Linked DNA regions of Rattus norvegicus. The protein of the gene in region 1 purifies or fractionates together with the protein of each later gene. This does not show direct contact. Links are inferred from orthologs where the notes say so. Each region holds a gene or a part of one and is shown in the gene's direction. Other genes may lie near its edges.

Evidence for each region.
Region 2: the proteins of Clk2 (region 1) and Acin1 purify together in Homo sapiens (affinity purification with mass spectrometry; 3 studies listed by BioGRID and IntAct, counting the BioPlex papers as one, with this or other methods). This does not show direct contact. The link is inferred for Rattus norvegicus from reciprocal best matches to the Homo sapiens genes CLK2 and ACIN1.

What each region holds. Positions count from the first base shown.
Region 1 is NC_086020.1:176,873,042-176,880,182, forward strand, and holds part of Clk2 (dual specificity protein kinase CLK2), read left to right. Parts: intron 1-430; coding exon 431-518; intron 519-866; coding exon 867-933; intron 934-1,205; coding exon 1,206-1,322; intron 1,323-3,894; coding exon 3,895-4,061; intron 4,062-4,680; coding exon 4,681-4,775; intron 4,776-5,427; coding exon 5,428-5,557; intron 5,558-5,565; exon of another isoform or gene 5,566-5,650; coding exon 5,651-5,733; intron 5,734-5,876; coding exon 5,877-5,956; intron 5,957-6,135; coding exon 6,136-6,226; intron 6,227-6,844; coding exon 6,845-7,030; 3' UTR 7,031-7,141. UniProt on the Homo sapiens protein: Dual specificity kinase acting on both serine/threonine and tyrosine-containing substrates. Phosphorylates serine- and arginine-rich (SR) proteins of the spliceosomal complex.
Region 2 is NC_086033.1:32,111,984-32,119,660, reverse strand, and holds the start of Acin1 (apoptotic chromatin condensation inducer in the nucleus), read left to right. Parts: upstream 1-2,656; 5' UTR 2,657-2,693; coding exon 2,694-3,005; intron 3,006-3,046; coding exon of another isoform or gene 3,047-3,441; intron 3,442-3,452; exon of another isoform or gene 3,453-3,591; intron 3,592-4,411; coding exon 4,412-4,477; intron 4,478-7,677. Other genes in the region: C15h14orf119 (uncharacterized protein C14orf119 homolog), read right to left, coding at 3,047-3,441.

The sequences.
Region 1 (7,141 bases):
TCTGCCCCGATGCCTCTTTTTTTATGAGGATCTTGGTTTTGAAAGATCTCTGTCTCCCAAGCCCTGGACTCTGTGGCCCCTCAGCAGGCAATTTTGGGTTGGGGGTCAAGGGAATACTGCGTCTGCCTAGAAGTGTGCTTCGTAGAGCATGGGGTTGTGGGTAACACTGGCAACATCATCACTTTCCTGCTCTGCCCGTGCCTTTCCCTGTCCTGATTTGGGTTTGGGGACTTGGGATTATGCGCCGCTCTCTCTTCTCACACCGCTCCGCCTTAGCACATCTGACGTGTTCCCTTCCACTGTCCCCCATCATCGTCTGTCCCCCCTGGCTGGGCGCCTGTGACCGGTGACCCCTACACCACCCACCCCGTCTCCCTCCGGCCCCCGATCCGACACCTGGCTTGCTCCGACCCCCCCCACCCCCCGACAGCAGCACAGCAGCCGGAGAGCCAAGAGTGTAGAGGACGACGCTGAGGGCCACCTCATCTACCACGTCGGGGACTGGCTACAAGAGCGATGTACAAGCCAAATCGTAACAATCCTATAGCCTGTAATGGTCCCATAGCCATCCTAATGTCCCATGCCAACCCAGGTCACAGCCTCTTGTGCCTTTCTCAGTGGTGTTGCTCATCTGGGTGGTTTGAGTTGCTGTTGAGAACTGACCTGTTGTCCACTCCCAACTCTCATGGCCCCTGGGTTAAAGGTGGTGGGAGTCACACAGGGGTTTCTTCCCCTGCAGCCATCTATATCTGTTCCCCCTTCCTTCATCTCCTCACCCCAGGTTGCTGTGCCCTATTTTCTTCCAGTTCATCTCATTCCCCCCTTTTCTCCCTCCCTCTCCCCGACCCTGCTTTCTTTCGTTTCAGATGAAATTGTAAGCACCTTAGGAGAAGGGACCTTTGGCCGAGTTGTACAGTGTGTGGACCATCGCAGGTAACTATGGCCCGCCGCTTACTCCTCCTCTGTTAAGCTTAGAAGATTGTGAGGAATCGGATCTGTTTACAGATTAAACAGGCAGAAGTTCTCAGTCTGATGCTTTAGTCACTGATGCATTCAACCTGAGATTTTTTTTTTTTTTTTTTTTTTCCGGAGCTGGGGACCGAACCCAGGGCCTTGCGCTTCCTAGGCAAGCGCTCTACCACTGAGCTAAATCCCCAACCCCTCTGAGATGTTCTTGAACCCAATGAAAACCTGTTGCCCTACAGGGGCGGAGCACGAGTTGCCCTGAAGATCATTAAGAATGTGGAGAAGTACAAGGAGGCCGCTCGACTAGAAATCAACGTGCTGGAGAAAATCAATGAGAAAGATCCTGACAACAAGAAGTAAGCCGAGGGGCTCTCTCCACAAGGAAGGCTTTACTGGGGCTATGCGGGCGGGCGGCGAGTACATCCAGTCTTGTCTGTCTGTCTTATTCTTAGGCATGCTTTTCTCTGTGTAGCCCTTGCTGGCCTAGAAACTGCTTGTAGAGCAGGCTGTCCTCGAACTCACAGAGATCCTCGTGCCACTGCCTCCTGAGAGCTGAGAGGAAAGGCATGTGCCACATCCAGCCCGTTAAACTTTGGATCATGAGAGTAGCAAAGCATTAAGATAGTCCTATGACAGTCTATCTACTCCTGTTTGTATTACGACGATATCAGCAATCTGAGAATGACCCTGGCATTGGTGGGCATCACTCTAGATGGTGCATGCCTGTCATTCCAGCCATTCAGAAGAAGAGGAAAGGCAGATTGGAAGGATTACAGCCTGGACAATGTAAATTTCCGTAAGACATTTTCTGACCACTGGAAATGGTTCTAGAGATTGTGACCCATGGATGGAGCACCAACCAACTCTCACAGGGTCCTAAGTTCAAACCCCAGTCAAATACACAGAGCCACAGTTCGTTCAGGAATGAAGCAGGAGAATCAGAAATTTGAGATGAGGGGAGAGATTGCTCAGCAGTTAGGAATGATAGGATAAGACCTGAGTTTAGTTCCCAGCATCCACATAGAAGTTCAAAATAGCTCTAGGAAAGCCTGGCACTGCTTGTGCTTGCCTTTAATCTCAGCACTCAAAGGCAGGGGTAGGCAGATCTCTGACTTTGAAGACAACCTGGTCTGCAGAGTAAGTTCCAGGACAGCCAGAGCTTTGCAGAGAAACCCTGTCTAGAAGTGGAAGAAAAAGAAAGAAAGGAAGGAAGGAAGGAAGGAAGGAAGGAAGAAAGAAAGAAAGAAAGAAAGAAAGAAAGAAAGAAAGAAAGAAAGAAAGAACATCAGAAGGGGGAGGGGGGGAGTCTGGAGAGATGGCTCAGCAGTTAAGAGCACTGACTGCTCTTCCAGAGGTCCTGAGTTCAATTCCCAGCCACCACATGGTGGCTCACAACCATCTGTAATGGGATCTGATGCCCTCTTCTGGTGTGTCTGAAGACAGCTACAGTGTACACACACACACTAGTTTAAAGATTTATATATAAATAAATAAATCTTTAAAAAGCAAAACAAAAAAATAGCTCCAGAAGATCCAGCACCTCTGTCCTCTTCAGAAATGTGCAGTCACGTGCAATAACTAACTCACATAATTAAAAATAAAGTCTTTGAAAGAAATCATGGAATTGGTAGTAGTAGAACACTGGCCTGGAATGCACCAGAACTTGGTTCTAAGTGAAGAGGAGTACCAGGCTCTAGAACTGTGGGTGTTTCTACAGTTACAGTTTTGATCTCATGCTATTCATCTGCTAAAATTGTAAGATTGTGACGGCGAAGGTTGTTTGTTGGTTTTGAGGCAGTACCTCATTTAGCTAAGGCTAGCTTCTGCTCATTCTTGTAGCCAAAGGCAAGGATAACCTTGAACTCTTGCCTCCACCTACAATTATAGAAATTTACCTAGTTTTATGTGGTACCAGGTATTAAACTTTAGACAAATACTTTACCAACTGAGCCACATCCCTAGCCCAAATAAGATTTAACAAAACAGTGAAGTATAAACTTCGCCACAGTGGCTGATACTAAAGTTCAGGAGATGGGGCCGGAATGTAATGGCTCATGAATTTGAGACCAGGATGTGGCCAGGACATAGGAAGTTCCAGGTCAGACTGTGCTTGAGTGAAACCCAGACAACAAAAATAACTTTGGTAACTGAGAATCCATATTGTTTAGAATTTCATGCTATAACTCTTGAGCAAATAGTTGTTTTGGGATTTTTTTTTTTTTAATTTATTTGAGACAGGAACATATTACATAACCTAAACTGACTTCAAATTCATGGTGAACCTCCTGCTTCTAGTTTCCTGCGTGCCCTGATTGCAGATACCACCCTCCTCTGTCTGACAAGTGGAGTTTGTTTTCCTTGTTTTGAGGGCTGAGATAAGAACATGGCCTCTTACATGCCAGGGAGGTGCTGTATTCCTGAGTTACAACCCCTGTTATAGGGAGTAGGTTTGAACGATTCAGGATGTTACAAAAATATGTTGGGGAGAGTTTGGCAGGTTCATTGGTTCTTCCTTTTTGTCATTCTCTAGATTACCTGAATTTTGTTGACAATCTTAATTGTTTTTTGGGGGGTATTTTGTTTTTTTAAGTGCCAGGGTATCATGTAACCCAGGCTAACTTCTTCAGACTTACTGTGTAGTTGAAGATAATCTTAAACTTAGGATTCTTCTGCCTCCACCTCCCAAATGCTGAGATTAAGGTTCATGCCATCATAGTTGTTATGAGGAAAGCTGCAGATTGAACTTGGGCCTTCTGCATGCTAAGTAGGCACTCTACCAACTGAACTACATTCCTAACCTTAATTAGTCATATTAGCTAGCATGCTTTTATACAACTGTTGAATCAACAGCCGTTCTGTCTTTCCTTTTGGTGGGGTGACGGGATTTGGGAACTTATTAGACATCCAACTCCCCCTATCTCTCCCCAGCCTCTGTGTCCAGATGTTTGACTGGTTTGACTACCATGGCCACATGTGTATCTCCTTTGAGCTTCTGGGCCTTAGCACCTTCGATTTCCTCAAAGACAACAACTACCTGCCCTACCCCATCCACCAAGTGCGCCACATGGCCTTCCAGCTCTGCCAGGCCGTCAAGTGTGAGTGGGGTGGGCTGAGGCGAACTCTGGGGCAGCCCTTCCCTCCTTCAGACCTCTTTTGTGTACTTGTGTGCTAGGCATGGCCCTAAGCAGTCAGTTCACTCACACACCTGTTACCATCACTGACAGCACTTAGTGTCTTTTCCTCATCCCTTCTGCTTTGGAGAAGTGCTGTACAACAAACACAGAAGTACTCGTACTCTAAAAACTCTAGTCTTAGGTTTGTCTAATGAGGTGCTCTTCACAAAGCAGTTGGGAAAACACCAGATCATTCAGCTGGGGCACCAGCTTTAGAATTTAGAGTAGGTCCTCTGCATCGGCACAGTGATGCAGTTTTAAAAATGTTAGGCAGTCACATAGATCAATCATAAGACCAAACAAAAACTCCCACCTGTGGCACACTGCTGCTTTTCTATCCGATGAACCATGTGTGCATTTTATATTATTAAGGGTAGAGGTTAGGCCAGCCATTTTATTTGATTGGAGAGCAGAAAGCAGCCCCAGTAGAGTCTGGGCCTGCCTCCTGACTAGCTTTGTCCTTAGCACTCAATAAGGGGTCAACTGCTGGCAATTAGTACTAGCCACCTGGATCAAGCCTGATCTAGCCTTTTCCCCGCAGTCCTCCATGATAACAAGTTGACACATACGGACCTCAAACCTGAAAATATTCTGTTTGTGAATTCAGACTACGAACTCACCTACAATCTAGAGAAGGTAAGATGGACAGCGGCTACCCTCTGTCCAGAGGGGCAGACAAATGGGCCACTTGGCGTTTGGTTAGTTCTTTGTTGTTCTCCCCTTTACTAATTTCTCCCTGTCTGGCTCCAGCTGGGAAACCAGTGAGCCGCGGTGATAAGTCAAAAGGGAGCAATTTAACAGGACTTGAAAGATAATTTGGGAAATGTTCACACTCCATTTGTGAGATGTGCATTTCTGTGTGGTAGGAAAACTCCCAATTGCTTGACTGCTGGAGGTCTCAGCTCCAAAGATCCTCTTCACCCTTTGCTACACAGTACAGATTTTCAGAATAGCACCCCAGACACTTGGCTCTAGTCGTCTGGTAGAGGCTTCCACACTATTCTGTATCATTTCTTAGTCTTCCTTTCCTGCTCTTACAGCACTACTGTGAGAGCTAGCTGTGGTGGCATATGCCTGTATCCCAGCACTTGGGAGGCTCTGAGGTAGAATTGCTGCAGGTTGAAAGCCTGCCTGGGATACATAATGAAATCCTCTTTTAAACAACCAAGTACTCGGAGCCTAATTTTCCTTGGTAGATGGGAACAGGCTATATTTGTCAGACTCTGAAGCAGCTTAGTCTCTGAGTGTCAGTTATGAGGAGATTCATTCCCGTCTGCTTGGCTCCTAGAAACGAGATGAACGCAGTGTGAAGAGCACAGCTGTGCGGGTGGTGGACTTCGGCAGTGCCACCTTTGACCATGAGCACCATAGCACCATTGTCTCCACTCGCCATTACCGAGCCCCAGAAGTCATCCTGGGTAAGGGAGCTCAGGACTGCCCAGTGTGCAGTGGTGTGAGGAGGGGGCGTATCCTAGGCATCACACTACCTCTCCCTCCCCCTCACTGCACAGAGTTGGGCTGGTCACAGCCGTGCGACGTGTGGAGCATAGGCTGTATCATCTTCGAGTACTACGTCGGCTTCACCCTCTTCCAGGTAAGTGGTGGGATAATACTGGGCTGCTGGATTTCCTGATCTGCAGAGGCCATGCCTGCTCAGTACTCCACACTGTCCATCTGGCAACTGGTCCCCAGGGGGCCTTGATGAGTCCTACACTCAGCTCTGTCTTTGTTTCTCAGACCCATGACAACAGAGAGCATCTAGCCATGATGGAAAGGATCCTGGGTCCTGTCCCCTCTCGGATGATCAGAAAGACAAGGTGACGCTTGAGCAGGAGGCACTTGAGCTCTTCTTCCCTCGGAATTTGTCTGTCACACGCCACTTTCTTTTTTCCATTGATACCTCCCTAGCTCCTACTTACTTTCACTTGGGTAAACAAGGGAACAGATATTATCAAAGTGGAACCTTCTGATGCACCAACCTCCCCTTCCCCTTTAGAAAACAGAAATATTTTTATCGGGGTCGCCTGGATTGGGATGAGAACACCTCAGCTGGGCGCTACGTCCGTGAGAACTGCAAACCACTACGGGTGAGCCTGGCCAGGGAGAAATACTGTCCACGATCTAAAGGTTGTTCTTTCTTAGGGTGGTTTGCCCCTGGAATGCATTTTGTAAGTGGAGGTTAGGGCAGGAGGGGGAGAAACATTGAAAGAAGACAGTTTGATCAACAGCGGACAGCAGAGAGGATTCACAGAGCCGAGGTTAGGTAGTGTCACATAGAGACAGCCAGATGAAGCAATGGCCTGGTTTCTTAAGGACAGAAAAAAATAAACTACCTTTGAAAAGCTTAAATTTTAATGTGGAGCTAAGGAAGATTCATGAGGTTGAAAAGTCTATACAAGTAAAATTTAGAAAAAGAAGGAATAATTGTGGAAAGGTAGGTTGAGCTGTAATATCAGAAATGGCCATAATGTTGCGATAAAGTAGCTTTCAAATTGCATGCAAACGGAGCTTTAAAGGAAGCTGAGACTTGTATGGTGGCACAGGCCTGAAATCCCAGCACTTGGGAATCTGAGGTGGGTGTTCCAAGTCAGCTGCAGTGCATAGTTCCAGAACAGCTGGGCTGCACAGCGAGACCCTGTCTTGAGAAGGAAATAAAGATAACTTTGTAAGGCGTCCTGCCTTACCTTCTTCCTGCCCTCCACCAGCGGTATCTGACCTCAGAGGCAGAGGACCACCACCAGCTCTTCGATCTGATTGAAAACATGCTTGAGTATGAACCTGCTAAGCGGCTGACCTTAGGTGAAGCCCTTCAGCACCCTTTCTTCGCCTGCCTTCGGACTGAGCCACCCAACACCAAGTTGTGGGACTCCAGTCGGGATATCAGTCGGTGACAATCAGGCTTTGGGCCCCCTGCTCCCTGTGTAGCAGTGGGTGTCCAGTCCAGGACACTGGTGCTTTTTTATATAAGAGAACAGAGCCAGAACTCGCCCCCTCTCCAGCCC
Region 2 (7,677 bases), on another chromosome or scaffold:
ATTTCAATGTGGCAGACAAGCTCACATGTGAGTTTATCTGACTCCAGTTTGGGTGTTTTCCTCTGGATTGTCAGTGACCACAGAATCTATATCAAAACCTGTAAGTTCAGCATTTTCAAGCACGTATAGCAAAACTCCAGCACTCTTCTGAGGCTACCAATCATATGTCTAGACCTACTGCTTGTCGGCACACTTACAAATTCTTTTTTTTTTTTTTTTTTAAAAGATTTATTTATTTTATTTATATAAGTACACTGTAGCTGTTTTCAGACACACCAGAAGAGGGCATTGGATCCCATTACAGATAGTTGTGAGCCACCATGTGATTGCTGGGAATTGAACTCAGGACCTCAGGAAGAGCAGTCAGTGCTCTTAACCACTGAGCCATCTCTCCAGCCCCACAAATTCTACTATTACACTGTCTATACTGCTTCTTTAAAGGGACACCTTTCAGACACTGGGTGGCTTTTTAGGTACACATAGCCTTGATGGCTTGGTAATTTCATAGGTGATCTGAACGCCTTGGTTTGAATGATTTGGGGGCAGAGGTTTCTGCATCAAGAGTAATCATTTTCCCAGGCTACCTTGGGTTTTAGAAAAAAATCTCACAGGCCTCAAATTCAAGATCTTCTGCCTGAGCCTTGAAGATTACAGACATGTCACCTACCCATAAGCCTCTCAGTCTCGTGTAGCCTAGGCTACACTAGTTTCATGAACTGTGAAATGTCACTATACCATTTCTGTGATGCTAGAGACAGAACCTGGCAAACTAAACAAGCACTCTACCAATTGAACTATATCCCCCACCTACTTCTTATAAATGATCTTAAAAACAACCAATTGAGGGGCTAGGAAGACAACTGTTCCAAAGTTAAATTCACTTTCTGCTCTCCAGAGCACTCATGTCAAGTGACTTGAAAGCACCTGTAGCTTCGGCTCCTGAGCTGAACTGTGAACTCCATGAGACAAGCACACACCCGTAGACAGACACACATATACACAAAATAATAAAAACGAACCAGACAGTGGCAGAGCATGCCCTTAATCCCAGCACTCAGGAGGCACGCGCAGGCACATCTCTAGTTCATGGCCAGCCTGGACTGCAGAATGAGTTCTAGGATAGCCAGGGCTACACAGAGAAACCCTATCTTAAAAAAAAAAAAAAAGCAAAAAAACAAAACCCAAACAAATAATAAGGAAAAACAAGCCATTGAGGCCAGCCTGGGAACACAGTAAGAACTGATCACAAACCTAAACAGAAAACACATGTCTTGCTTGTTCTCTCTAAAATTAATGTGCACAGCTTTTTAAATTTTGGTACAAGCGACTAGTCCCAACCTAAATGTTGATTTTTCCACAGTTACATGCACTGTGTGTTGGGAGTGGAGACAAGAGGCAAGAACCTTCTGTTCAAAGTACAAGCAACTGGTCCCAACCTAAATGCTGATTTTCCCACAGTTCCCCACTGTGTGTGTGTGTGGGACGTAGGGGGTGGTCATGAGACAAGAACCTACTGTACAGTGTATGAACCACCTCTGAAACCTGTAAAAAATGTTTATGTTCTATGACCCCCTTATTAAATTCTCTACCACACTAGTAAATTTTGGAGCAGGCTAGGTAAAGTTCTTGTCTCAAGGTAAGGTAAGGGTTAGAAAATCAGAAGCCACTTTATTAAAGTTCTGAAGAAAGTCCTTTTGCTTCTTTCTTGACTTAGGTAACCTAAAAAGTGTGATACGGATGCACACGTGTCTCTCAACAGTTTTCCTTAAAGCTTTATGCCTACAAGTACCACTCATTTTGCATCATGGATGCAAGTGTCAGCCAACTTATTCCAAAATACTTTAGTCCTACAGTTTGTATCTCCAACAAGGAAAACCTTCAACTCTCTAGGACCTAAATTTCTACCTGTTCTTACTTCTCCGAGTTGGAAAATTTGTATCCATGAAGAAAAGAATACCTAAACGTCAGTTCTAAGTCCCGGTTCAGGGTGACTGCCAGTTTCAAAGTGGCCCTACAGGGAGAAGTTTCTCCTAAAACTTCTCTTTTTCAGAGAAAGGGAATTATTTACCCAGGCTTTTTTACATTTACATGGCTTCCACTGTAAACTTAAATTCGATGTCATTAATAAATTTGCTGTCTGAGATCAAAGACACAATGCTACTTTTTCCCACGTTTGGAAGCAGCAGGTCTCTTATTCCTTAGCCACACAGGACAAAGCATTTCTTAGACCGAGTGGCTGGGATATAGAGGATGGGGACCACAGAGATTTCGCCAGGAAGCAGAAGGGTTCCCCAAAAGAAAACATTCAGACACCAAGTCTTATCCGGCCTAGGAGAAATTTCTTTTCCTCTTACCTCCCTTTTCCCCTTGGAGGGCGCCCAGAGATCACAAGAGTGCTTCAGCTCCTGCTCCAATTCCCCGAGTCTCTTCCATGTTTCCGGAAAACCCTAAGTACAGCCAGCCCCAGTAACCCACGCACTTCCGGTCCGGAACCAGCCCCAAGTACCCAAGTGCCCCAGCGCCTCAGCCCTCAAGTCCGGAGATAGCCGAATATCTCCGATTATGGGTATGCCAGATTCGAGGGCTTCCGAATAGATTCGATTCAAAGCCTCGGCAAGACGAAAACAAACGAACCTGAAAGTAAAATGGGAGGAGCCGGCCGCTAGGCAGATGGAAAAAGCCGATTGGTACCGATGTGGAGACGGAAACGACCGAACAGTTCCGGAGGAACCCGGGGAATTCTGAGCGGTAATAGAGGGGTAGACTATGGCAGTGGGCGGGGCCAGTTCGGTACGTTCGAAGGGCGTTGGCGGAAATTACCGAAGATGCCCGAAGCCGTCGGGACGGACCCGAGTACCTCACGCAAGATGGCGGAGCTGGAGGAGGTGACTCTGGACGGGAAGCCTCTTCAGGCTCTGCGGGTGACCGACCTGAAGGCCGCACTGGAGCAGCGAGGCCTAGCCAAGAGCGGGCAGAAGAGTGCCCTGGTCAAGCGGCTCAAAGGGGTGAGAAGTCAGCGTTGCCGAGGTGTCGGAGGGGAGCGGACCTGGTAGAGACGAGTCTCCGCTGCGGCGCAGGCGCAGTGTCCGGGCTCGGCGCGAGCTCTCTCAGGCCGCCAGCGCGAGCCTGCAGATCCACGCGCACGGTGGTTGGTGTGGCTGGCGCTGGAATAGAGATAACGCCGGTTCCCGCCTTAACGGCAGCAGCGCGAGCCCAAAATGGGAGGGTGCGCGCTACTCTCCCGGAGTGTCTTAAGCTCCTTCCTTCTTCCCCCACCCCCTCCTTGTTTGTGTCTGTGTTTTCGGCGCATGCGCTGCAGAAGGAGTTAAATCCCTCTACAACCACCGGTGTGGCTGGCCTTAAGGGGGCGAGCAGGGCTGTGTCCGAGTTAGGGATACAGTTGGGCGGATGGGGTTGGTGTCTGTGTCTGCAGTAGTACATTTTGGATAGGGTAAAAAATGTCCGCTTGACTAGATTAAAACCTTAGATGAAGGAAAACCTTGATAGAAGGACTTGTCAGAGACGGGTGTCTAATTTATAGGGAATCGAGAAACAGTCTGGATAAGAATTTGGTGAATATTGGTGCGAGAGGTGAGACAGATTACTTTAGGCTGGGGATTTTGTATCGGTTTGAGCAGTGAGAATGAGCTTGTTGTCGTGAGGTATACATACTGTGTATTGGTTTGGTGTAAATGGAGGGAAGGAAGGTGAGAAGGACTAGTGTAATTTGAGTTCATTAGGGTACGTGGCTCATAATACTGATAGGGACTCGGTCAGTTCAGGCTTTGAGTTGACAGACCGTTGCTTATCCCGAAGCTGACAGTTTGTGGGTGGGTGTGGATTAGGTCAGACCACAGGTTACAAGGTCTGTGGTTAGTTTCTCGGTGAAGTTTTTAGTACATTTGATTTGTCTGGGTGTCAACACTGATGGAAATTGTGCAGGTTCATTTAAGTAGTTTTAGTTCTGAAAATCAAATAATAGTCAAATCTAAATTAGCAGCCTAGTGTTGGTTTCATGTAATTTGAAACTTGTTTGAGTACTTGTAATTTTTTTTGCCTGTATTACCAGATTTAAAAGTGGCTCCTAGTCAAAATTACAGACAATAACAGGGGTTCTAGTTCTGATTCTGCCACTTTTGCTGATTTTTTTGTGACATAGCCAGGTCACTGATTCTTTGTGTGCCTGTATTTTACATCCGTATACTTGGGAGCAGTAACCATGGCTACCTTTAAGCGACTTATGAAGATGAATGAGAACAATATTAATAAAGCGCTTTTAGGCTCTGTGAAAGGAATGTAGTATAAATGTATATTTAAGTAATTTAGTGAAAAGGCTGTGGGAGAGGTAGAGATCTGGAGTGCTTTTTTGTTCCCCCTCCTGGTTTCTGATTTTTGCTCTTCTTTATACCAGGCTCTAATGCTAGAAAATTTACAAAAACACTCAACACCCCATGCTGCATTCCAGCCAAATTCTCAGGTAAGAAAAAAGGTTTGTTTAGATAGAATGGGCTATTTGGAGAAAATGGTAAATGGGAAGACTTGGTGTCTTCCATGTTTATCAGAAACAGAATTTTCTTGTTTTTTTATTGCAAGTGATCTCAGTTACTGGGTTTTTGTTTTGTTTGTTTTTGTTTTGTTTTTTTAAGGTCTGTTTTTATTTTATGTGTGTGGGTGATTTGCCTCCAACGGGTGCCCACAGAGGCCAGGAGAGAATGTCAGATCCTCTGCAACTGGAGTTACAGACAGCTGTGAGCCACCATGTGGGTGCTGAATCGAACCTGGGTCCTCTATAAACGCAGCCAGTGTCTTAACCATTGAGCTATCTCTCCAGCCCTCAGACAGTTGAATTCTAATCACCCTCAATTTTGCATAAAGACCTGGAGTTTTAAAAAAAAGAAAAGAAAAAAATATATATATATAAATAAAATCAAAGGAGCACTGAATGAATTTTGAATTCTTGGAGTGTGTCAAAAGTATCACTCTGGGGGTTGGGGATTTAGCTCAGTGGTAGAGCGCTTGCCTAGGAAGCGCAAGGCCCTGGGTTCGGTCCCCAGCTCCGAAAAAAAGAACCAAAAAAAAAAAAAAAGTATCACTCTGATTAAGTGTGCCACAAGAATCTGAAGTCACTTGCCATCAGCTTAGGGGAAAGTTATCTTTGAATATAGATCTTTGAATATAGATGTAACAAAATACTTTTTCATCAAGAACTCTTTTATTGGTACAAATTTACTTTAAAGAATTTGATACTGTATTAATAAACCCTTATTTCTAGGACTAACTCTTAAACATCCTTAAAACCTTGATGACTTAGGACAAGGTACTTAACACTTAGAGACCTTTGTTTCTTTACCCGAAATAGGAAAAGTAGTTTGACTTAGTTCATGGTTTTATAACTGCTCTGCTGGGGTGTCTTAGGGGAAAAAACTTTGTTCTAAGAGTTCCTGCATAAACGTTTTTGTGGTTGTTGTTGTGGGTTGAAACAGGGTGTTTATGTTGCCTGCTCAGACTCAGGGCAGTCCCTCTACCCAGCTTCCCTACTGCTCTACCCTCCAGGTTTCTGCAAATATTTTATTTTGAAGACACTGTATAGTTAAAAACAAAATACAAATTTCTACACTATGTCATCTTGTAGGGTACTCTTCAGCTTTTAAACTCTTCATTTAATGTGTCACCCACTTAAAAGAAAATGCAGTGGTGTGTGGGCCCAGGACACTGGAAAATGTGCTTTTCTGTTCCCTTGCTAATACCTCATTAAACTCCAAGGCCCATCATCTAGTCAGCTTTGGGAGGTTACACAGCATTAAAGAGCTACCTAAAAGGCTGGAGAGATAGCTCAGTAGTCAAGAGTGCCTGACTGTTGCCCAGTGATTCACACCAGAGCTCAAGATCTCAGCACCTATATCAGGCGGCTCACAAACATCTGTAGCTCCAGTGCCAAAGTCCCGTCCTGCTTCCAGGAACATGGCTGAGCACACAAACACATGTATATACTCACAGATACATGTAAACACACAGATAAATGAAGCTGAGAAGATGACTCAGTCATTAAGAATACTTGTTTTTATAGAGTTTGCTCTTAATAGAGGACCCAGGTTTTGTTCCCAGTGCCCACCTGGTGGCTCACAGACATCCATAACTCAAGTTCCAGGGTATCCTATATCCTCTTCTGCTTTGGACATCAAGCACACACATTTCTATGCAGTTAAAACATTCATGCCATGTAATAATAATCTTTAAAAAGCAATTCAGAAAACTGATTGAAATTCTCAATTCACAATTGTATCTTGGATTGTATTTTAGACTTTGAAGTTTTACTTGTGTTAACAAAGGTTTTGCGGCAAATACACTTGTTTTCTCATACTTAAAATGCACATTTCATCTGTGGCCATTGGGTACTAAGGCACTTACTATAAGTGAAATAAGTATTTACTGTTAGAGAGTATGACAGAAAACACAGGAAGTATTGGATTGACTTTGTTTCTGAAGGTCTATAGGCATGTAAGGACTTGAGGAGGAGAGTTTGTGAAGAGAAAGCAGAAGGACAAAGAATGATGTGTGCACGCCACAGAAAGAGAGACAGGGTTAACCCTGGGCTGGTTGCTTGGCTGGCTTGCTTTTTGAAGATTTTTTTGGCAGTGTTATTTTTGAAAACAGAGTTTCTCTGCATAGCCCTGGCTGCCCTGGAATTCCTGCCTCGGATTAAGGGCACGGGCCATAACACCTGGCATGCTGGAGGGGTTCTTTTCACTCAAAAAAAAAAAACAAACAAACAAACAAACAAAACTGTTGGTTGGTTGGCTGGTTTGGAGTTTTTGAGGACTTAATGGTGTATGTAGCCCAGGCTGGACTCAAACTTAGGCACTTTTCAGCCTCAGCTTCTCTGGCACTGTGCTTGCAGGCATAAGCCATATGCCTGCCCCTTTCCGTGGTTTATTTTGTGTGTATGTGGTTTTTTGTTGTTGTTTTTTGTTTGTTTGTTTGTTTTTCCGGAGCTGGGGACCAAACCCAGAGCCTTGCGCTTGCTAGGCAAGCACTCTACCACTGAGCTAAATCCCCAACTCCATTTTGTGTGTTTTTTAATGGAAGTAATTAATGTATATTCCTTTCCTTGGTCTCTTGATTTCATGTATTTAAATACTGTTTTTTATATTTATTTATATTTTATACATGTAAATGTTATGCCTCCAATTGTGCATTTGTGCCTGGTGCCCTCGGGTCAGAAGCAGGCATTGGATACCTGGAATTGTAGTTAACAGATGATTGTGAGCCACTGCCCACTAGGACTCAAACCCAGGACCTCTGTAAGAGCGAGCAGCCGGTGCTCTTAACCACTGCGCCATCTCTCCAGCCCTGGACTTGAACTTTTGAGACAAATGACAAAATGTTTTCCTGGGTTGGTAGAGCTTGATCGTTTGGAGAAACTAGTACTTTTTTCTTTTCAGGTTTACTTATTTTTTAAAATCTGTTTCAGATTTATTTGACCAAGCCAGGGCAAGCTTGGGCTTTCTACATTTATTTACTGCTTGTATGAGTGTTTTACCTGTATGTATTCATGTACATTATGCCAATGTCTGGTGCCTACAGGGGTCAGAAGAAGGCCAGACACCCTGGAACTGGAGTTAAAGATGGTTATGAGCTCCTGTGTGGATTCTGAGATCCAAATCTGGGTCTTTTGCA